Kluyveromyces lactis: one gene and its partners. The protein of the gene in region 1 purifies or fractionates together with the protein of each later gene. This does not show direct contact. Links are inferred from orthologs where the notes say so. Each region holds a gene or a part of one and is shown in the gene's direction. Other genes may lie near its edges.

What was found. The genes of interacting proteins can lie anywhere in the genome.
Region 2: the proteins of HOS2 (region 1) and HOS4 purify together in Saccharomyces cerevisiae (affinity purification with mass spectrometry; 3 studies listed by BioGRID). This does not show direct contact. The link is inferred for Kluyveromyces lactis from reciprocal best matches to the Saccharomyces cerevisiae genes HOS2 and HOS4.
Region 3: the proteins of HOS2 (region 1) and CPR1 purify together in Saccharomyces cerevisiae (affinity purification with mass spectrometry; 4 studies listed by BioGRID, with this or other methods). This does not show direct contact. The link is inferred for Kluyveromyces lactis from reciprocal best matches to the Saccharomyces cerevisiae genes HOS2 and CPR1.
Region 4: the proteins of HOS2 (region 1) and KLLA0_F02882g purify together in Saccharomyces cerevisiae (affinity purification with mass spectrometry; 5 studies listed by BioGRID, with this or other methods). This does not show direct contact. The link is inferred for Kluyveromyces lactis from reciprocal best matches to the Saccharomyces cerevisiae genes HOS2 and SET3.

What each region holds. Positions count from the first base shown.
Region 1 is NC_006042.1:846,138-851,041, forward strand, and holds HOS2 (histone deacetylase HOS2), read left to right. Parts: upstream 1-2,329; coding exon 2,330-3,688; downstream 3,689-4,904. Other genes in the region: IME4 (mRNA (N6-adenosine)-methyltransferase), read right to left, coding at 34-1,608; KLLA0_F09141g (type I glyceraldehyde-3-phosphate dehydrogenase), read right to left, coding at 4,151-4,904.
Region 2 is NC_006042.1:340,273-346,176, forward strand, and holds HOS4 (Hos4p), read left to right. Parts: upstream 1-2,497; coding exon 2,498-5,380; downstream 5,381-5,904. Other genes in the region: VAC7 (Vac7p), read left to right, coding at 1-233; KLLA0_F03597g (dual specificity protein phosphatase family protein), read left to right, coding at 1,054-2,136. UniProt on the Saccharomyces cerevisiae protein: Unknown. Component of the Set3C complex, which is required to repress early/middle sporulation genes during meiosis.
Region 3 is NC_006040.1:1,414,078-1,418,211, reverse strand, and holds CPR1 (peptidylprolyl isomerase CPR1), read left to right. Parts: upstream 1-2,538; coding exon 2,539-3,027; downstream 3,028-4,134. Other genes in the region: HOM2 (aspartate-semialdehyde dehydrogenase), read right to left, coding at 23-1,117; DNA-directed RNA polymerase I subunit RPA14, read right to left, coding at 1,586-2,065; ENT5 (Ent5p), read left to right, coding at 3,506-4,134. UniProt on the Saccharomyces cerevisiae protein: PPIases accelerate the folding of proteins. It catalyzes the cis-trans isomerization of proline imidic peptide bonds in oligopeptides. Involved in histone deacetylase complexes, suggesting a function in chromatin.
Region 4 is NC_006042.1:266,517-272,568, forward strand, and holds KLLA0_F02882g (uncharacterized protein), read left to right. Parts: upstream 1-2,645; coding exon 2,646-5,036; downstream 5,037-6,052. Other genes in the region: protein kinase IME2, read left to right, coding at 1-80; KLLA0_F02860g (NAD(P)/FAD-dependent oxidoreductase), read left to right, coding at 584-1,885; putative GTPase MTG1, read right to left, coding at 5,321-6,052.

The sequences.
Region 1 (4,904 bases):
TAGGACATTTGAAGTAAAGAGAGTATTACATCTTTAGTTTGTCTTTGAATTCTTTGATTTTTCCATGAATCTTTCGTATTTCCTTTTCACATCCACTTCATGGATAGATGAGCCTGTCACTTGATTTCCTATCGTGAACCATCCAGGACGGATGTTATGGTCCCTACCGAAAATTTCAAGTTTACGGGCATGTGTACCGACAAGTCTTTCAATGATTCCATACAATTCGTCCGGCTTTCTACTGGTTTCTCTAGTTGCGCTAATGATCAAGTCAATGTCTATTTTTCTGTTTAGCCATTCCGGATTGCCTTTGACCCCGACGAGTAAATGCTCTTTACTGTGGTTCAACCAATGGCCAGTTCTACCTGTCACAATTGTTCTTCCTAATTGGTTTGTCTTGATCCAAGATATTTCATTTATTACTTCGTAACCCCAATTCTGCAATGATTCTTTCCCTACTTCGATAGCACGGCCGGTTACCCACAAGAACAATAAACCTTCTTCCTGCAAGAGATCAAATGGTAGTTGCAGTAACTCATTATCATTGCAAGTACCGTAGGGCAAATTCATATGAATGTTCCATGCGGGATCTGCAATAACGGCTGAAAATTTACCAAGAATATCGAAGTCAAACTTTCTGACGTCACATTTGATCCATTGTGGAGGAAGAAGCTTCTTAAACGATGAAGAACAGCACTCTCCATGCGTATAGAACGAATACTGCTTGCGTTGCTCTTTTTGTTCTTCAATTTTCTGTTTTTGGAGAGATTCAGGATAATATTGCAGATAGTGGACGTATCTGCAGGTACTTAACTTGTGACAAGTATCCAAATACGAACAATCTCCCAACGAAAGATCCGTCTGTGGCTTTAAATTTGGTATGAAATGAATGTGCGTGTTCGAACATTCGATAATATCCGGACAATCAGCTTCAATCTTCTTTAATTTTTCACCTTGCAAAGACATGATTTTGTTGTTAACAGTATTGATGACGGTGGATAGTAGTGACACATGTTTCGGATCTGAGCATATTGGTATGAAAGGTGATCGCTTAGTGTTTAATTTTGCCTGTTCTTTAGATAACTTAGTGGATCCGAGTTCTAACGAGAGGATTTGATTTAAGTGTCTTAGACACTTAGCATTAGGGGTTACAATTTCACTCTGGTCCAAAATGCCCATCAACTTATTTAATAATATGGGTTCGCTTTCAATTTTTCTTTCTTTAACCTGAACAGAATCTTTATCGATCGCAATCTGCTTGGCTTTATTGCCAGTATGTGATAATGACAATTTAATAGCTTGGTCATAATGAACTTTTTGCAATATTTTCAAGGAGTCCCCATCAACAAATGAAATCTTTTGGCCAAAAATATTCCCGCCACTATCATCTTCAAAATTCATGCAACCACCACATACTTCTGAAATTTTATTCAAATCTTCACAAAACTGGTAATACGTCTCACCACATTCGTTATTCTTCCATAGGAAATTTTGCATGAACATGGAATAAATGACATAAATGTCGTGTAAGCTACCATTGATCGGGGATGCAGTGATGGACGCATAGTTGTCCAACATAAAATCAACTAACCCCCAATTCAAAGACATAATACCAGTTTCACTCCTTTCACTGCTCGGACAATTTCTTTCGAGACGCAGCTATATTCAGTTTCGTTTCACCTTGTTACTCCACTCAATAAAAAAACAACCGCCGACGTCAATATCTCTGGCTCCAGACAAGATATAACAAATCCGTATATTTTTTTCGATCACCACAACTTTCACAAACTTTCTGTGCCTACAATGTCATGAAACTATATATAAATTGCCGGCTTTTCCTCTCAGTTCCATCCACGTTTAACAATGGTTCTGTCTTAAAAAGATGGTGTATTTCGTGATGAAGCTGGGATTTTTTATTTTCAAATCCGAGTTTGATCTAGGTAGGAATTCGTTGTGAACAGGGGAATACACAGGCTCCAAACTGGCAGGAAAGTGAAGGGCTTTACCAGTGTATTATACGTGAATCTGCAACGATGCTGATCTCTCTTTAGAATTGTGGGGTACATCCTTCATCTTGATACGTTGTTATCACGTGATTGGTTCATGTGATGTACGGAGTTTATGGTTCTGATCCACTTGGAATAAAAAAACATGGAATTTGAAAATACAGTAATAACAGAACAACACATAAATAAAGTACGGAAAGGTCGAATAGACAATCGACCGAGCCAATACCCAACTCTTTGCAGATTGTAGCTACCAAGTATCAATTCTGGCTGAGTGGCAGTTATTCATTACGGGTAAGTGGTAGCGGAATCCTTTTCATAAGATGTCATCGGATACACTTAAATTTGATGAGAAAACGGAAGCTGAGAAGCCATTGTTTGATTGTGATTTTGGGACTTCCTATAGTCCCAGAGTCTCGTACCACTTCAATTCGAAGGTATCACAATATCATTACGGTGTCAAGCATCCAATGAAACCTTTTAGGCTTATGCTTACCGACCATTTGGTTTCGGCATACGGGTTACACAAAGTGATGGACTTATATGAGACGAGGTCAGCAACAAAGGATGAGTTAACAAAATTTCATTCTGAGGACTATGTCAATTTCTTAGCGAAGGTAACACCAGATACATTGAATAAACTTCCTCGAGGGTCACTCGAGAAATTCAACATTGGTGACGATTGTCCTATCTTCCAAGGAATGTTTGATTATGCTGCCTTATATGCTGGGGCATCGTTAGATGCTTCTAGAAAGCTACTTAATGGTCAGAGTGAAATAGCTATCAATTGGTCTGGTGGTCTACATCATGCGAAAAAGAACAATCCATCTGGTTTCTGTTACGTTAACGATATCGTGTTAGCCATAGTAAATCTACTGCGGTATCACCCGAGAGTGTTATACATCGATATAGATTTGCACCATGGTGACGGTGTACAGGAAGCGTTTTACACTACTGACCGTGTGTTCACTGTTTCATTCCATAAGTATAACGGCGAATTCTTTCCAGGTACAGGTGATTTGGATGAGATAGGTTGCTCCAGAGGTAAGCATTTTGCATTGAACGTTCCGTTACAAGATGGGATCGAAGACGACTCATACATTAATTTATTCAAAAGCATTATTGATCCCGTAATAACATCTTTTCGGCCCAGTGTAATTATTCAGCAATGTGGTGCCGACTCCCTTGGCCACGATAGACTTGGCTGTTTTAACTTAAATATCAAGGCTCATGGTGAATGTGTACGGTTTGTCAAGTCGTTTGGAGTACCAATGCTTGTGGTTGGAGGTGGTGGTTATACACCAAGAAATGTTTCAAGATTGTGGACGTATGAAACAGGATTATTAAATGGGGTATTGCTACAACCTAAACTTCCAGAAGGTATTCCATTTAGAGATTGGTTTGGCCCAGATTATTCATTACATCCAACACTAGATGACTTGTATGAAAACAAAAATTCCAAGAAATTTCTTGAAAATATACGGATTAGATGTTTGGAGAACATCAAATACTTACAGGGTGCCCCAAGTGTTCGTATGGATGCAGAACTCATCCCAACACAGGACATCACTGGCCTAACTGAAGAAGAAGAGGAACTGATAAAAGAGTTAAATGTCGAAGAGGACAAGGCTAGGTTGGCACAAATGGAGAAGGATGACTTTAAAGTGGGCGAACTATACTAAAATATCACGTGCGGAAATCTGATATATTTGTTTTTTTTTCTTTCTTTTGGTTACGCTTTGTAAATAGATATCCTATATGGAGTTGTTAGAATACTACTAAATTAACACTATTAAGGTAAAATTATGAGCACGAAGAAAGTGCCTTCGAGGTTAAATAAATACATTATTACCAATTAATATTAAGATCGTATACTTCATTATGCTTACATGGTATGGGTTTTTATTTAACTTGTCTATATGTGTTAAGAAATTTTCTGAAGATATCCTTTAGTAAATAGAATATCTTTAAATTGCTGTGAATATTAAATAATAATGGCGGATGGAGGTACAAAAGGTATTGTTTTGAAGTACCATCATAATTTTGTAAATTGTCGAAAACTTTTGAGAATAGTCTTCATCAAACGAAGAGTACTTTTTTGTCAGTCTACTGGGATTTTGAAATCAAACAAAAAAAGCGTCTCCTTAAACACCAGCTTCGAAGTCCTTTTGAGCCATGAAAATGGATAAATCAACCACTCTTGAAGAGTAACCATATTCATTATCATACCAAGAAAGGACCTTGAAAAAATGGTCGTTCAATTCAATACCGGCCTTGGCATCAACAATAGATGAACGTGAATCGGATGTGAAGTCAGAGGACACAACGGCGTCTTTGGTAACACCCAAAACACCCTTCATATCGCTGCGAGATCTTTGTTCTAGGGCCTTCATAATGTCATCGTAAGAAGTTTTCTTTGCTGTACGGAATGTCAAGTCAACCAGGGAAATATTAATTGTTGGGACTCTTATAGACATACCGGTGATCTTACCATTAAGTTCAGGCAAGATTTTCCCTACAGCCTTAGCTGCACCAGTAGATGAAGGAATGATATTTCCCTGGCAAGATCTACCGCCTCTCCAGTCCTTACCACCAGAACTGGTACCATCGACAGTCTTTTGAGAAGCAGTAGTTGCATGAATAGTTGTCATCAAGGCTTCTTCGATACCGAACTCATCGTCCAAAGCCTTAACCAACGGAGCCAAACAGTTGGTAGTACAGGAGGCATTAGAGACCACGTGATCCGTCAATGGGTTGTATTTAACGTGGTTAACACCATAGACGTACATTGGCGCGGTCTTTGATGGAGCAGTAATGATAACTTTTTTGACACCTTTATGTCTAGAGGCTGTATCGACTTCCTTGAAGACACCGGTTGAGTCAATTACATAATCGACG
Region 2 (5,904 bases), about 510 kb from region 1:
AGAAAATGGGCCACGATAACCAAGATGAAAAGGGCAATCACAAACTAGAGAATGATATTGACCGTTGGAAAGAATTGATCAAATATGAATTCGAATTGATCGTCAGAGGAAACATGTATTACAGTATCCCATTCTTTAACAACCAGAAAGTACTCCCAGTACAACAGCAAATTTCTGTAGATCCAGACAACTCACCTTTCAGAAAAAAGCATGGAAATAACCATGCGCAATAGAATATAAAGGCCATTTTTTAGTCTGCCAGAAGCTTGTTTAAGTCAGACACCAAGATAACTCATCGGAAAACTTCAACCTTGGCCTTACTTAGTTTTTACAATGTCTTGTAGTATGCCACAGCAACTAATTTGCTTGTAATTATATATAATGATAACAATAAGATATACTTAAAGTACCACAAACTGTATTTTTCATGGCCGAGTTATAAGCCTTAAGTGACCCCAGCAACATCTGCATCAAGAATGTTATTTATTTACTTCTTTTTTTAGGACCTACCTGTGTCCCCAAGAAAAAGTAAAAAAAGCAGAAATGTTGAAATACTAAGCACAAGAAGTAAACTTGAAACAAGGTACCGAAACAGAGCTAAAAGTTCATTTGTCTGTTTTTATCGTCAAATAAATCAACTGCTGTAGGTCCACAAGTTATCATTGTTATTGGCATAGATTTAAACCTTCGAATTGCACGCCGGTGGGTTTTCCTCGACTTACCACACACACATTCAAGGCGGCAGAGGGGATATTTTGAACATATTAACGGGGAACGATTGTGAGATCTTAGCTACTACATTAGAGGATATTTGAGAAAAGCTTGTACAGCAATTTATTGAAATTATTGAATATTGTGTTACTTCAAAGATATAGGAAAACTAAAGCTGGTACTTGATTATTTCCCTAGACGCTGGTAACCCATAAGAAAACCGTTCTTATCTCATCTTGAATTCCTGGCCAAAGAAATTCGGTAAGAAACTTATTTGGTTATAATTATATTAAACATTTGATCATACTTGCAAGTCCTTTTCAATACCCAACACCGAGCGATATGGAGGCACCGCAGAGAATAAGTACAAGGTCACATCATTCGATGCAAAATAAAAATTCAAAGAACCTTTGTCTTCGAATAGGTGATTCCCCAACGAAAAACAAACTAATAATGGTGGATTCAAAACCAAATGAAAGCAATGATACTTTCGCAGTGCCATTGCGCCACCAGCTTACTAAACGTGTAAGTGAAGCACAGATATACACTTTACCGCCACAGCTTAAATCTGCCAGATCCACACCCTCTACACCACAATTACCGTCTGGCAGTTCGGGCTTTGATTCAGCCGCTTCACCCTCATCGTCTACGTCTTCCTCGCCTTTCAATAAACCAACACTTCCAACAATCAACACCAAATTTCACAATAGGCCGAGGGCCACGACAATTGCGACAAGTGTACCTCAGATACAGACGCCCAGTAATGATTCAATGGAAAGCACGACACGGTATTGGGTTCTTCAAGAAAATACGCCCATGTCCTCTACAAATTATGATAATGATATGAAGAGCATCCCATACAATACCCATTCTGATGAAGACTCACCGAGCTATTCAGAATCATACAGAGAGAAATATTATCCCAGTGGACCGTTACTTGTCGTCCCTCCTTTCATATATTTGTATTCTGAACCATCATTAAAAGAAGTAATGGATTACGACGTAATAATAAACGTTGCAAAGGAGATTACCAACTACAAGGAACAACTGCCTCTATCCAAGCAAGGTTGCTATTATCATTTTACTTGGTCTCATACCTCACAAATTACTAAAAACCTACCACAACTAACAGAACTAATACAGAATGCCTATGCCAGCAAAAAAAAGGTGCTAATCCACTGTCAATGTGGAGTATCAAGATCAGCTTCCTTGATAGTAGCTTACATGATGAGATACGACAAATTAAGCTTGAATGAAGCATATAATAAATTGAAGTCTGTCGCCAGAGAAATAAGTCCAAATATGAGTTTGTTATTCCAACTAATGGAATGGGAAGATTGGCTTAACAATTGTGACTCAATCAATGATAACTGTCGGAAACAGTCATTCGAGTCCATCTCGGAATTCGGTGAACTCTCTCTGTGAGATTGTATGATATAAAACGCAATTTTAGGGATACCCATACAAAGTATATAGTAGCCTAAACACTACTCTGTAATAATACGCCGCGGATCTTCTGTTTGGGCAAACTATCAAAACGTACCAAGTGATAATTCTGTTCTTAAAAACATTAAACTTTTGAAGGTTTCTAAGTTATGATATAAGGTAAATAAAGCTGGTGACAAGGGAGAATAATGCAAAGAAACCATTAGATAATACTGTCCTCCCACTTATTATACTTCGGACTTTACGTTACTCGAAGGATTCATTCAGAAGAGTGCGAATTATGGAAAATCAGAGGCCATTCATAACTTTCAAACCTTTCTGAAAAAACCGAGTAATAACCATGAGCGAACCTGTCAAAAAAAGAAGCTTGGGCAGTTATCTATCTCGTCTCGAAGAGAGAAGAGAAGAACGAGAAAGATCAGAGCAACAGCAGCGAGAAAGTCCTAAGCCAGTGGGTGAAAATGGGAATTATTCTGTTACCAATGTTCCAGTAAAGGAGGAAGAGGTATCTCAAAAGGTAACTTCAACTGATCAGAACAGTACAAAACAACCATCAGACGAACCCTATGTCGTTAGCCAAGCAAACAGCTCTGACCAGAAAGTTGGATCTCCTTTGAATAATCAAGAGTCAATACCGGTGAGACAAGCGGAAACGAAAGGACCTATTAATGAAATAAAACAGGAAACGGATGTAGAAGAAAAGAAAAATCTACCGAAAGTAGGGAGAAATAAGCATTCTGACGAAGAATATAGTAGTGCACTCAGTGAAGTTGAAAGTGACGCACCGACAGAGCCTGCATCGCCACCAAGACCAAAAATGGGGAGACTAATACGAGGTGATCAACTTGAAAGCGGAAACAACAGTCGACAATCAAGTGCTCCAGTATTGACAAATGATGGGGAATCCGATTCTGATCTTTCCGATTTAGATGAGGCTCGTACAGCTAAAATATCAAGCAGTGCGATTCACGAAGATTCCTCTCCGGTGAAACATTATAATGAACACAAGCGCAAATCCTCTAGTATAGAAAACTCCTCCAATCACAAGAAGCAAAAACATTCTGCCGGGAAAAAGATACCGAAGACTAAGCGTGGAGTACATAGGGATGCCGGAGGCAGGACAAAACTACAAATTGCTTGTGATAAAGGCAAATATGATTTGGCAAAAAAACTTATTGAAGAAGACGGCTATGACGTTAACGACCAAGACAACGCTGGAAATACGCCACTACACGAAGCAGCTCTAAATGGTCATTCAGCAATTGTCGAGTTGCTCGTAAGAAATGGAGCTAATGTTAATATTCAATCATATGATATGTTTCTAGATACGCCTCTTATTGATGCTTCCGCGAATGGCCACATAAATGTTGTAAAATATCTTCTAGATCACGGAGCAGATCCAACAATGGTAAATGCCAAAGGTCTAAGTGCAATTGAATCTATTGAGGAGGAATCAGACATGGATAATGATGATAGAAGAATAGTGCACGATATGAAAGATATGTTAAAGAGAGCAACGAGGAAATATATAAAACATTCCCATCGCACCTTACAGTCTAGTTCCATGTCAAGACATTCAGATGATATAGACAAACAACTCAACCATGATGACGACTTTTATTGGACTGATATCAGTTCAAAATTGGGTAAAAACAAGCTTTTGAAAGCTTCCAAAGAGGGGAAATTAGCATACGTCGGTTCGTACCTTGAAAACGGTGGTAGACCTGATTTCAGATGTTTCCTTGAGAGTTGCATATATGGTCATGATGACGTAGTAAGTTTATTTTTAGCCTTTGGCGCACAAGTTAATATGAGTAACAAAGAAGGTCAAACTCCGTTGATGCTATCTGTCGGGCGTGGACATGTCAACGTCGTGAAACTTTTACTCGAAGCCGGGGCGGATCCACAGAAAACTGACAAACGAAAGAAAACTGCCTTGCATTATGCTAACCACAGCTCTCTTGGTCTAACGGATCCTGATGAAGTGAATTTACTCAAAGCAGCGGTGAGGGCAAAATATGGATACGAAGTTTCAAACAACAGCGATGAAGAGGGGGAGGAAGATTCTGAAGGGAAATCTCCTTCACCTAGAGAAATATCGTCAATTCCATCCACCAAAGGAGAAGAGCAAGATCGTTCTTTGGAAATTCGTAAAGATGATAGTCCTTATCATTCAGAACCACAATCTAAAATCGGAAATATCAATGAGGAAAAGCCAAAATTATTACCTGATTCTCAAACGACAGCAGAAACTGCTTCCCTAGTCAGGCCAAGTCTAGAGAGACTAGACTCAACAAAATCAACATCTTCAACATCATTAACTCATCGTTATAAAAGTGCATCTCCTACACATCAACTATCCACTCCGCCTATTCTTCCGAAAGAAAGCGAAGAAGAGAGAGCCGCAAGGTTGAAGAGCGAAGAAGAGTACAGGCAAAAGAGACTGCAACAGAAGAAAAGGAAAGAACAGGAATTCTTAAACAGATTAGCTGAAGATGAACGGAAGAGAGTAGAAGAGAAGGAGAAATTGAAGCAACAGGAGGAACAGAGGCTAGAACAGGCCAAGAAAGAGGAACTATTAAAAGAAGAAGAACTTCGAAACAGAAACGAAGTAGAAAAAAGATTAAAGATCAGAGAGCGTTATCCAATTGGATTGAGAGTCATTGATTTCAAAGATCTTGAGAATTACGATAAATTTGGGCCTGTGTACTACTTCACTGAAGATGGATCAAAATGGGTGCTAGATCTTCAAATAAGTGTCATTATCAAATCCAGCACCGAAGAGTTAAAGAAACAATCATCAGAATTTAAAGAAGTGGAAAAGGGTCAGTACCCACAACTATGGAATCTTTTCAAATTCATCTTCTTATATGGCGGCAGCGATAATGCAAACAACTCGAAGTCCTTGCCCTGGAGGCAATTGTCGGAAATTGACCAAACAGAGTATGTAAAATTCTATGAACTCCCACTAACATGGATTAAACTATCGCGATTGAACCTGCAAGATTTAAACCCAAAGATGAATGACTGGATTGAAAAAAATATGATAGAATTTATCCCGGCATCTACATCTGCCTTGTACAGAACAAGAAAGGTCCTTTTACGTGATAGCAAAAGACCTGGCCAAAACGAAAATAATGCTAACACACGCTTTGTCCCTGCCAAATATCAATCACGCTCCAAAATGTTACCATGGTTGAATGCCTCCAAAGCGCTTTGGTAGGGTCATTATACATAGCATAAGAAGCTTAACACTGTAACAATACATAAGAAAAGATAGAAGAAGAACGTCTTCCTCGGAAAATAGAAGTCACGTGGATTTTATATACACGTGACTCGGACCTTTGCAGATGATTTTCCACGCCCTTCATTCATCACTTCCCCAACCCGTACTATGCGACTGTCTTTCCGGGAACATGATTGGCCAGAGTCTGATTTAGTAACGTTAAATCCGAAAAAAAGTTCCATCTCGTATGAAATGACCTAAAACACACCATCATATCATAAACCTTCGATTCTCCTTCGAGATAAACAATAGAGTAGAAAAAAAAACTGTTACCAGCCATTTTTCTTCGAAGCGTTTTCTTGTTAGCGTTTTTTTTTTCGGCCCACTTCCGTTGGTGCTATTCACCTTTTATAATGGAGAAACATGAAAAAAAAAGCTGTAAATTTTTCATATAATTTAAATAAAAGATAAAATATAAAGCTGATTTTAGCTAGTTTCACAGATTTGAACATTGTTTTGGT
Region 3 (4,134 bases), on another chromosome or scaffold:
AGGAAGAATTATCATTTTGCGTTTAGATGATGTTCTTGGCTAATAGAATTTCGGCAATCAAGATACCTGCACCTGCAGCACCGATAACGGTGTTGTGGGACAATACAACCATTTTGAAGTCCAATACAGGATCTTCTCTGACTCTACCAACAGATACACCGTAACCATTGTCTCTTGTTCTGTCCAATCTTGGTTGTGGTCTATCATTTTGTTCCAAGACATGGATGGTTTGTTTTGGCGCAGAATGGCATCCCAACTTAGCAGCATCACAGACATAGTCTCTTAGACATTGTTTTACTTCTTCGACAGATGGAGCTGGCTGGTTCTTGAACTTCAAAGAGATACATTCAGTGTGACCGTCAGAGACAGCAACACGGTTACATTGAGCAGAAACCTTGATTTCGTCATCGCTCAATAGGTTAATTTGAGATTTATCTTGACTCAAAGCACCCAAGATCTTCTTGGTCTCCCATTCGATCTTGTCTTCTTCGCCGCCAATGTAAGGGATGATGTTATCTAAGATATCGATACTTGGGACACCTGGAGAGAAACCAGCCCCGGAAATGGCTTGTAAAGTGGTAGTGGTCAATAGAGAAATAGGACCGAATTTTTCAACTAATGGTTTCAATGGGGCCACTAAACCAGCAGTAGAACAGTTTGAGATACAAATAATAAAACCAGGTCTTGGCTTACCTTCTTGCTTGGCCTTTACCAAGTTCGCGTTAACCAAATCCAAATGTTCTGGGTTGGTGATTGGAACGATTAATGGCACATCTTCTTCTCTTCTGTAGTTCTTAGCATTAGAAATAACAGCTAACCCATGTTCCTTGAATTCCTTCTCAATTGGACCAGCATAGTCAGCATCCAAACCAGAGAACACAACATCACAGTCCTTGAAGGCATCAGCGGTACATTCAGAAACAATGATGGACTTAGCAAATTCTGGTAACAAATCGGTTTGTTTCCAGTTCACAGCATCGACATACTTCTTACCTGCAGATCTGGAAGAAGCACCCAAAACCTTCAATTCAAAATCTGGATGGTCAGCTAACAACAAGATAAATCTTTGCCCAACGGAACCAGTAGCTCCTAAGACACCAGCGACTTTCTTACCCATAGTTATAGTATATTATAAGTAGTGATTCTTTCTTAATCTTCCTAAGCAAGATTCAGATCCTCTTTATCGCTTTAGAATAAATACGATCAAGAAAATGAGATAAGTATATTAGAAGCAAAGTAGAGCAACGATGAATGCTACAAGTGTGTACAAATATATACCTGGTAGTAAGGAATCGGATGTTAATGTTGATATTCTTTTCAACTGATGTCATATCACTTTGACGAAAAATTCCAACTGACTCACACTCTCTCTGTGTGAAAGAAACCGCAGGTGAGCCCATTGGAAAAGAAAAAGTTGTGTATTTGAAGTCACGTGGTATGTTGCAATTAGGGTGAGCTCCAAGCTTATGCATTGATTATAACGGTCACTGTATGTAACTTAGCGTATGTATGTATATATATATATATATATATATATATAATGAATGAATACCCTCCCGATTCGTGGGTAGTGCAAATCAGCCGTCTATTCAGAGTCTGATGACGATTCCGAGGATGAGGATGTTTGTTTGCTGTCACTGGAGGTTTGTGAAGATTCCGGCACATCAGCAAACTTGATCTTTTTCCCTCCAGTAGCAGATTTAGCCACCGTATCTTCTTCTGTATTACCAGTAGAACTTGTGCTGGAGGGTTCCATCTCCATTACTTGAGGTGGTAGACCTTTGAAATCTCTTTCGACTCTTTTCAGCTGCGCAAGAGCACTGGAAAGCTGTGTATCTAGAGCCATTTCATCGGCACTAATGCCACCAGAAGTTACTGCTCCCTGGGTTGTAGAAGCTCCGCTTGACGCTAGTGTCACGCCTGGTACTGATTCCTTTTCGGCAATGAAACTTGCTAGGAATTGTAGTACTTCGTCTTTAGATAGGTATGTTGGCGTGCCCACCGTATGTACCACAACGGGCGTGTTCAAAGTGGAGTTTGCTGGTCTTCTAGTTCCCCTTAGCATGGTATACGTGGTTGTTCGTTGGAGTGCGATGAATCAAATCAGCATCTATATATTTACCCAACCTTTGGCTATCTCATCTCATCTCATCTCATCTCATCGCATTATTTCGATTCAGGTTTTGTCTCTCGAAGAATTTTTCAGCTGAGGCACGGGTAACTCAGGCATGTTTCTCCGTGCCTTGCGATGTTAACAAAATATGCAAGTCACGTGTGTCACGTGACTTGCGGCGACAATGCGGTTGATGTGTAAGATAATGGGGTTTCCGTTTTCGTTACCCGGCCGCATGTCATCACCTAATACCATTTTGCGAAGCCAACGCCACCCTTTGTTAGCAACTACCAACCACTTTCTCAATTGAACTCTGATTCAACTTCAATCCAATTCCAATTCAAGTCCAGTTCTTGCTCTTCTGTTCTGGTTTGCAAAATCTTGGTTACAACACACCAAGTATCAACTACTAAACTAAACTAAGAATGTCTAAGGTATTTTTCGACGTGGAAGCTGACGGTCAACCATTGGGTAGAATTGTTTTCCAATTGTACAACGATGTTGTTCCAAAGACTACTGAAAACTTCAGAGCTCTAGCTACTGGTGAAAAGGGTTTCGGTTACGCCGGCTCTGTTTTCCACCGTGTTATCCCAGACTTCATGTTGCAAGGTGGTGACTTCACTCACGGTACTGGTGTCGGTGGTAAGTCTATCTACGGTGCTAAGTTCCCAGACGAAAACTTCGTCAAGAAGCACGAAAAGCCAGGTTTGTTGTCCATGGCCAATGCTGGTCCAAACACCAACGGCTCTCAATTCTTCATCACCACTGTTCCATGCCCATGGTTGGATGGTAAGCACGTCGTGTTCGGTGAAGTCGCTGATGGTTTCGATGTCGTCAAGAAGGTCGAATCCCTGGGTTCCGGTTCCGGTGCTACCAAGGCCAGAATTGTTATCGCTAAGTCTGGTGAATTGTAAGGAAATAAGCTAGGGAATTGACTCTTTTTTTCATTTTAATCCTTTTTTCTTCCCTTTATCACACTTCAATCGCTCGGGATATCTATATATATACTTATGTCTATAACAACCCATTGACTAATTGAGTGTATTTGATCTCACTCAATTGGTAATGGAAGACACTCAAATACATATATACAACACCCTTTTATATCAATGGAAGTTTATGACTAGATCATCATCTCTCCTCTTTGGCCATTAACAAATGTAGCTACCCAATGAAAATGGTTACCCGGGCCTGTTCCCTTTTCTCACCTGAAATTTCCCAATTTAGCTGCCCTCTGCAATCAGCGCAACCTTTACAAGACTTTTCAACATAAAATAATGATCATGATTAATGATCAGTGAGGATACGTTCGTCATTTCAGTGCGGTAACCCGTTGTATCTGCAGTGGTACGCTATTGATCACGCTGGACAGGCTATATCTTATCAGTAAGGATGGATTCTATTTCTAAAAAGTTGGGTAATTTGGGTCTGCATGATTTCAGAAATGCTGCAAGATTTGCACAGAACGTTATAGTTCAGTATGAACCATACCAGATCGATATTAGACGTGCTACGAATACCGATTCCTGGGGTCCAACTCCAAAACATTTGGCTAAAGTGATGAGACATCGTTATGAGGTTTCAATGTTTTTGATGACTGAATATACTTTGAAAAGATTAGTCGATCATATGGCTAAAAGACCTAAGAACATGTACGAAAAGGCCAGAAAGCAGTACGTGAATTACGGTAACGAATGGAGAGTTGTGTTGAAATGTTTGGTCTTGTTAGAGTATTTATTGATGAGGTCAGATAGGGGCAAAGAGACTGATCAAGTGCTATCCTGTTTACAAGCACATAAACATATCTTAACCAAGGAAACGATGCAGTATCGTGTTGATTTCAGTAGTGATGGGAAGATGGAATTACATGAGCGTGGTATCAAGAAGAAATGTGAACATATCATCCAGTTGATAGAGGATACTTCTTACTTGAAACGCGAGCGTTCCAAGACCGCGGAAAATACACAAAAAATCGTTGCCGGATCTGCCGGATCTCGCTCAGAATCTCTGTATAACGATAT
Region 4 (6,052 bases), about 580 kb from region 1:
CATCGGAACATGCATCTCAAAACCTGATTCAAACCTCTAACTCCCACAATCATACATTCCAAGATGGATTAAGTTTCTGATCGTAGAACAAAGAACAGCAGGCTGTTCCTCTCTTTCAGTTCTACTCGTTGAAATTTCTTTCAACAACGCTTTACCTGGTCCTCTTCCCATTCATTTATACCGTTTATAATATCCACACACACACACACACATATTCACCTTTTGTACCTGCTAGCTCATAAGTTTTAACATAACTTGCTTCTATTATTTCCTTTATAACTTGTTGGATACAGGACAGAAATGCCGACAACTCTTTCACTCTATAACATGGTACTTCTACTTGATTTACCTCTTATGTACACTATTATCCTTACTGTCTTTGTTTACTATCTCAAGTTTTTTTTTTTTTTCTTGGTAAACTGTTCCTATCAGCTCCGAGGTCCGATGATTCAAAATCTTTCGAGCCATCAACTTTACATTGTACTTCAAAGTCTTTATAAAGAAGAACTTCGGTTAAGAAAGAACATAGATAATATATTCAACTATACAGCTTTCCTCACATTAGACAGGCAGCGAACCGGAAATGTCCAATTATGATGTTGTCATTGTTGGCGCGGGTATATTTGGATTAAGTACTGCTGTGCAATTGGCTCGTTCCAAATATAAAGTTGTGGTGGTTGATAAGTTTCAAATTCCATCGCAGTTAAGTGCGTCCTGTGATTATAATAAAATTGTTAGACTAGAGTACAACGATGAAGTCTACGCTGCACTAGCAGTGGAAGCAATGGGATACTGGCACGGTGAAAGTGACAAATTTTTGCCTCGAGGAATGCTGCATGATTGTTACTCTCATTGTGGTAGATTGAGTGCAATTCAAGATAAGAATACAAGCAGATATGCTTTCGATAATGACAGTTTACAACTTCTACAAACAAAGTTTAATAAGTGTAAAACTGTGGAACTACATAAAGAGTTAACTTGTGGTGGTAAGTTCCCTCAGTTTTCTCATAGTCAACGCTACGATGAGATTCGTTACAATCCAGACTGTGGTATTGGTTTGGCTAGGGATTCACTAGTGACCATGAAAAATTATGCTGAATCATTAGGCGTCGTATTTCATGAAAATGATGGAGCCGTGAGTGTGTCAGCGGGCACTGTTCAATGTGAATCTGGCAGAAAATTCCTTGGACACAAAATTATTGTTGCATGTGGTGCTAATACTGTATCACTTCTGCCTATGTATGGTCAGATCAGGGCTACTGGGTTATATGTAGGCCATATTCAACTGACGGACAAAGAATATCAAAAGTTAAAGGATATTCCAGTGGTCTTCAACAGTAGCTTAGGATATCTGTTCCCTCCAGATAAGCACACCAGGATATTGAAGATTTGCACTAGTGCGATGTCTGCATATGATGATATGAGCAACAAATCAAGAGCGGTCTATCGGGCCCTACAGCCCGATGCGGCACCCAGTGTACCAATAGAGGCAGTCGTGCGTATAAGAACAGTACTAGGTAAATATCTACCGGATCTAGTCTTCGATACCAAAAGAAAGTCAAAGTTAAGGGATATCATTGATTGTAAGATATGCTGGATCAGTGACACATCAAATTCTGACTTCATTATAGACATGATCCCCGACCTGAAAAACGTGTATGTATGTTGTGGAGACTCGGGACATGCTTACAAGTTTCTTCCTAACATCGGAAGCTACGTACAGCAGAAAATAGAAGGAAGATTAGCACCAATACTGGCACACAAGTGGAGGTACAGGGAAAGTGATTGGAACGGTACGGAAATCGAATGGAGAGTAGAACCCGAAAAGAAAGCATTACAAGAAATAGAATGGTACCAAGAAAGTTACGGCACCCCAAGACTGTAACCTTTCCGGCAATTGATATTATGCAGCAACAGAGTAATATATTGCATGGCAATTGTGGATCTGTTGGCAGTAAACCGGTATTTAAATATAAGTAATAAAGAAAAAGAAAAAGTATCTACAGCTTGGTACATGTAGTAGTAACACAATCTTGCGTTCAGCGATATGTTCACCCACAGCTTTGCGTTAAACGAAAACGGTACTGCTACTAACCGTGCTTTTGCACCTTGTTTATTGTTTACAACTCATCGGCTCTTCATTATTCAAGGTACGACATTTTTCACCGTTTAACGACAAAATTTTGAAAATCAACAACATTAACTATCTTTCTAAAAATTGACAAACGAAGGATGAATAAACATGTTAATAAGGAACGAAACGAAACGACCAGCCCAGACATATTGAGTGTCTAATTAGCTCTCGTCAATAAGGTACTCGCACATATCTCTTTCACGAAGTAACCGTTGGCAAACTTGATAGAACAGCTGTACGAGGATCAGAAAGGGCCGTTTAATTTTTCCTGTTGGGTTTGATTCAGAACGTATAGACTGTTTTAGCTGTGCTTTCTATACTTCGATAGCTCGGACAACAAGCATACTAGGCCCTGAAAACAGGGATCCCTTTTAAGATAAAGAAGGGTATATAAGTATATCAAGCTGGGCAAGTTAGGACATCTTTATTAATATTAAGGTACCGACTTTTCATTCAATTTCAAATATTCAAATCAAATACCGCAATACAAGAAGGAAATATACAGTAAACGATGACGGATGGTACTATAGAACATGCTCAGGACCAGTCGTTAATAGACGATGCCTCCACTTTGTTGATGTTCTCTAAAACATCGAATTCAAACGTCAACTCGAGCGATGAGGGTAAAGACGAGTTAAAAGCCGATATACATACACACAAAATGACACCAACTCCTTCCGCTGGAACTGCAAGTCAGGTCGGAAGTCAAGCTGGTAGTCACAGTGGGAGCGCTGGTGATATAAGTATGCATATGAATCCCATGACATCACCGGGCCCTGCATCTGTGGCACTTATCAAAGATGATGATGACGATGATCATCTAAAAGGCAGTCCCGTTGACAATGGTATTCATCGCAGCAACTCAAATAGCGAAAAGACAAAGAAAAGCGGGAATAAGAAGGGTATGGTTGCGGCTGCTGCGTTAGCACAAGCAGCTACGATGCCACTACCTCTTAAACGAAAAGCAGAAAACGATAGAAAACCTGCTGCGAACAACAGCGTGCCAATGCCTAGATCAGGTGCCGAGGAAAAATCTCCTTCAAAGCAAGCAAAGAGCGAAGATAAAGTGGTGGAACAAGAAGATAGTTTCAAAGAAGCTGTAGAGGAACAAAAACTTGAAAAATCTGAAACGGATAGGTTTTCTTCGGTTCCCGAATCTTATGTTGTTGATCCAGATGCTGGTATAATAACGTGCATCTGTGGCTATGAAGATGATGATGGATTTACTATACAATGCGACCATTGTTTCCGTTGGCAACATGCTATATGCTATGGAATTGAACATGAAAAAGATGCCCCAGATGACTTTCTGTGCAACATCTGCAATTCTAGGTTTGTAGATGTAAAGCTAGCAAAGAAGAAACAACAAGAAAGGATCAGAAATGCTCAGAATAAGAAGCGTAGACGCACGGCAAATGGCAACATAAAAGAGGTGAAGACAAAAGAGGCCACGTCTGGTACGAAAGACTCACGGAATCCAGGTACTTCTGAAGCGACGGACCATCGTATAGAACCAGAGGCCATTCCATCCGCAGATCCTCTTACGAACATTGTTTTAATAAATGCTAAAGAAGCTTATCCTACAGTGTATCTCCCTTTGACTTCAAATGATTACAAAGATAAATACGTTGAACTTTTCGTAAAAGACCACGCTGATGACGACTGGGTTATACCTTATCATAAATTAACGTTCAAACCTATTCCGATTGAAATTAAACCATATTCTGACAGTAATCACTCAAGATTGTTCCCTGGATACCCCAAGTTAGCTGTATACTTGAAGCAAGGATGTGATGAAGGAGACTACATCGATGAATTCTTAGGAGAGATTGATTTCCAAAGGAAATACTTAGAAGATCCAAGAAATAACTATAGAGTCTGGGGAACTGCAAAACCTAAAGTCATTATTCATCCCCACTGGCCGATTTATATTGATGCCAGGTTAAGTGGAAATTTAACGAGATACTTGAGACGATCATGCAATCCCAATGTTGAACTAGTCACAATCAAATTGACTAATTCCAATAACCAGGATGAGATAAAGTTCGTTCTTAGAGCTCTAAGATTCATTGATAAAGGTGAAGAACTTCACATCAAATGGGACTGGGACCTGAGACATCCAATATGGAAGTTAATAAATCATAATGAGAGCATAGATTCCATTGAAGAGCCACAAAGGTATCTTTTCATACATTCCATAGACACCATTCTAGGAAGTTGTGATTGTGCCTGTGGAAGTAATAGTAAAGATTGTTACTTGCTGAAAATCAAACGCCATTCTCAATCACTCTATAGATCAGTCAAATCAAAAATGAATAATCGATACAAGCTTAACGAAATATTACACGGAAACAAATTGCAAACCAAAAAACAGTCATCTATTCTCAGTAAATTAGCGCATGCCACAATCTCAGACGCAGCAAGGGCCAATGAATTTCTACTTAAATTCAATGCCGTTAAGCTAAAGATGTTAGAACCGGTCTCTGACACTGTACAGAAGAAGTCTTTCCATACGAACGCTGGGAGTATCAGAGGGAACAAATACAGGGTTTCAGTGACGGAGTCCAAAAACAGGGTTGACCCCCTTAAAGAAAGTCTTTCATTCATTTCAGATCCTTCTAAGTTCGATGAATCACAGATTAAACACCCAGCCGATCTTCCTATTCCCATACAGACAATAAGTACTGAAGATAACCCTCCAACTGACACCACCATAACAAATATAACCGAAACTATATCAAACCAAGGACAAACTAGTGTCACTTCCGATTCTAATAGCATTAAAAATTCGTTGAAGCGTGGAATAGACAGCGTTCCCGGCCCTTCGTCTACTATCCACCAAGCTCAGATGAAAAAGAAATTATCGTTTGCTGATTATAAGAAAAAAATCAAACCTGCTTAACGGATGACTTCCTTGGTATCGAAACCTTCATTAGCACGCAAACTTTTTTTTCAGTTCGGGATGTACCTATAGGTAGTCAGCGGTGGTAATAAACGGGGAGAGTGTACTTAACAATTTAGCCTCCTTCTCATAAAATGAACTTTTTTTTGCGAGTTATTTAGGAATTTGGACGGTGGGTTCGATTTGCTTTATCGATATATGTTGGAAAACTAGTCTATACTTTTCTATTATTTATTTACATTGTTTATAATTAACCAAGAACTGACTACTTCTTAGGTATTCTCTCAGAAAAGCGTATTTGCCTTAGATAAATGCTTTTCTCTTTTGTTGAGTAAGGGTTGGGATAAAACATCCCAACCTTTGAGAATTTCAAGTTCTTCTTGCATAGTTTTCTTGTATTGAAAGTTTTCCAAAATGGGTTCCAACTCGAATAGAGCTGGAGTAGCTTTAGAGGACTTCTTAGAACCAGATCTTAACCCAGATTTTAAAACTCTACCTTGTCTCCAAGAATCTGTCCAATAGATGGCTGCAGCATTCTCGTTTGTCATTCCTACTTGCTTTTTGAGGCCACTCAACAAAATGTCAATGTTGTTAGTAGGGGTTGTAGTGTAGTGTGTGTAGAATTGATATTTTCCCTGTAGGTTCAAAAGATACAACAGAAAATCTGCTTGAATCACAGGGTCCACTAGATTGTTTTTAACGCACCCACATAAACTGAGTGATAGCATTCTTTGCTTGCTCATTGCTTTGGCAGGTAAAGATATTCCAGGCGTATCATATAGAAACAACCCTCCTTTATAATCACTGATTCTGATACATTCACTAGTGTTCCTGGTGACACCTGCCTGATCACCTGTCTTCGCAACCTTCTTGGGTTTGCTTCCATCCGAATGATCCAAGCCTGCATATCCAGTAAATCTTAAACTATTAACGAGTGTTGATTTCCCAACATTAGGCATGCCGCCAATTAGCATTCTATAACCCAGTGGTAGTCCCACAGTCTTCTTCCCCGGATC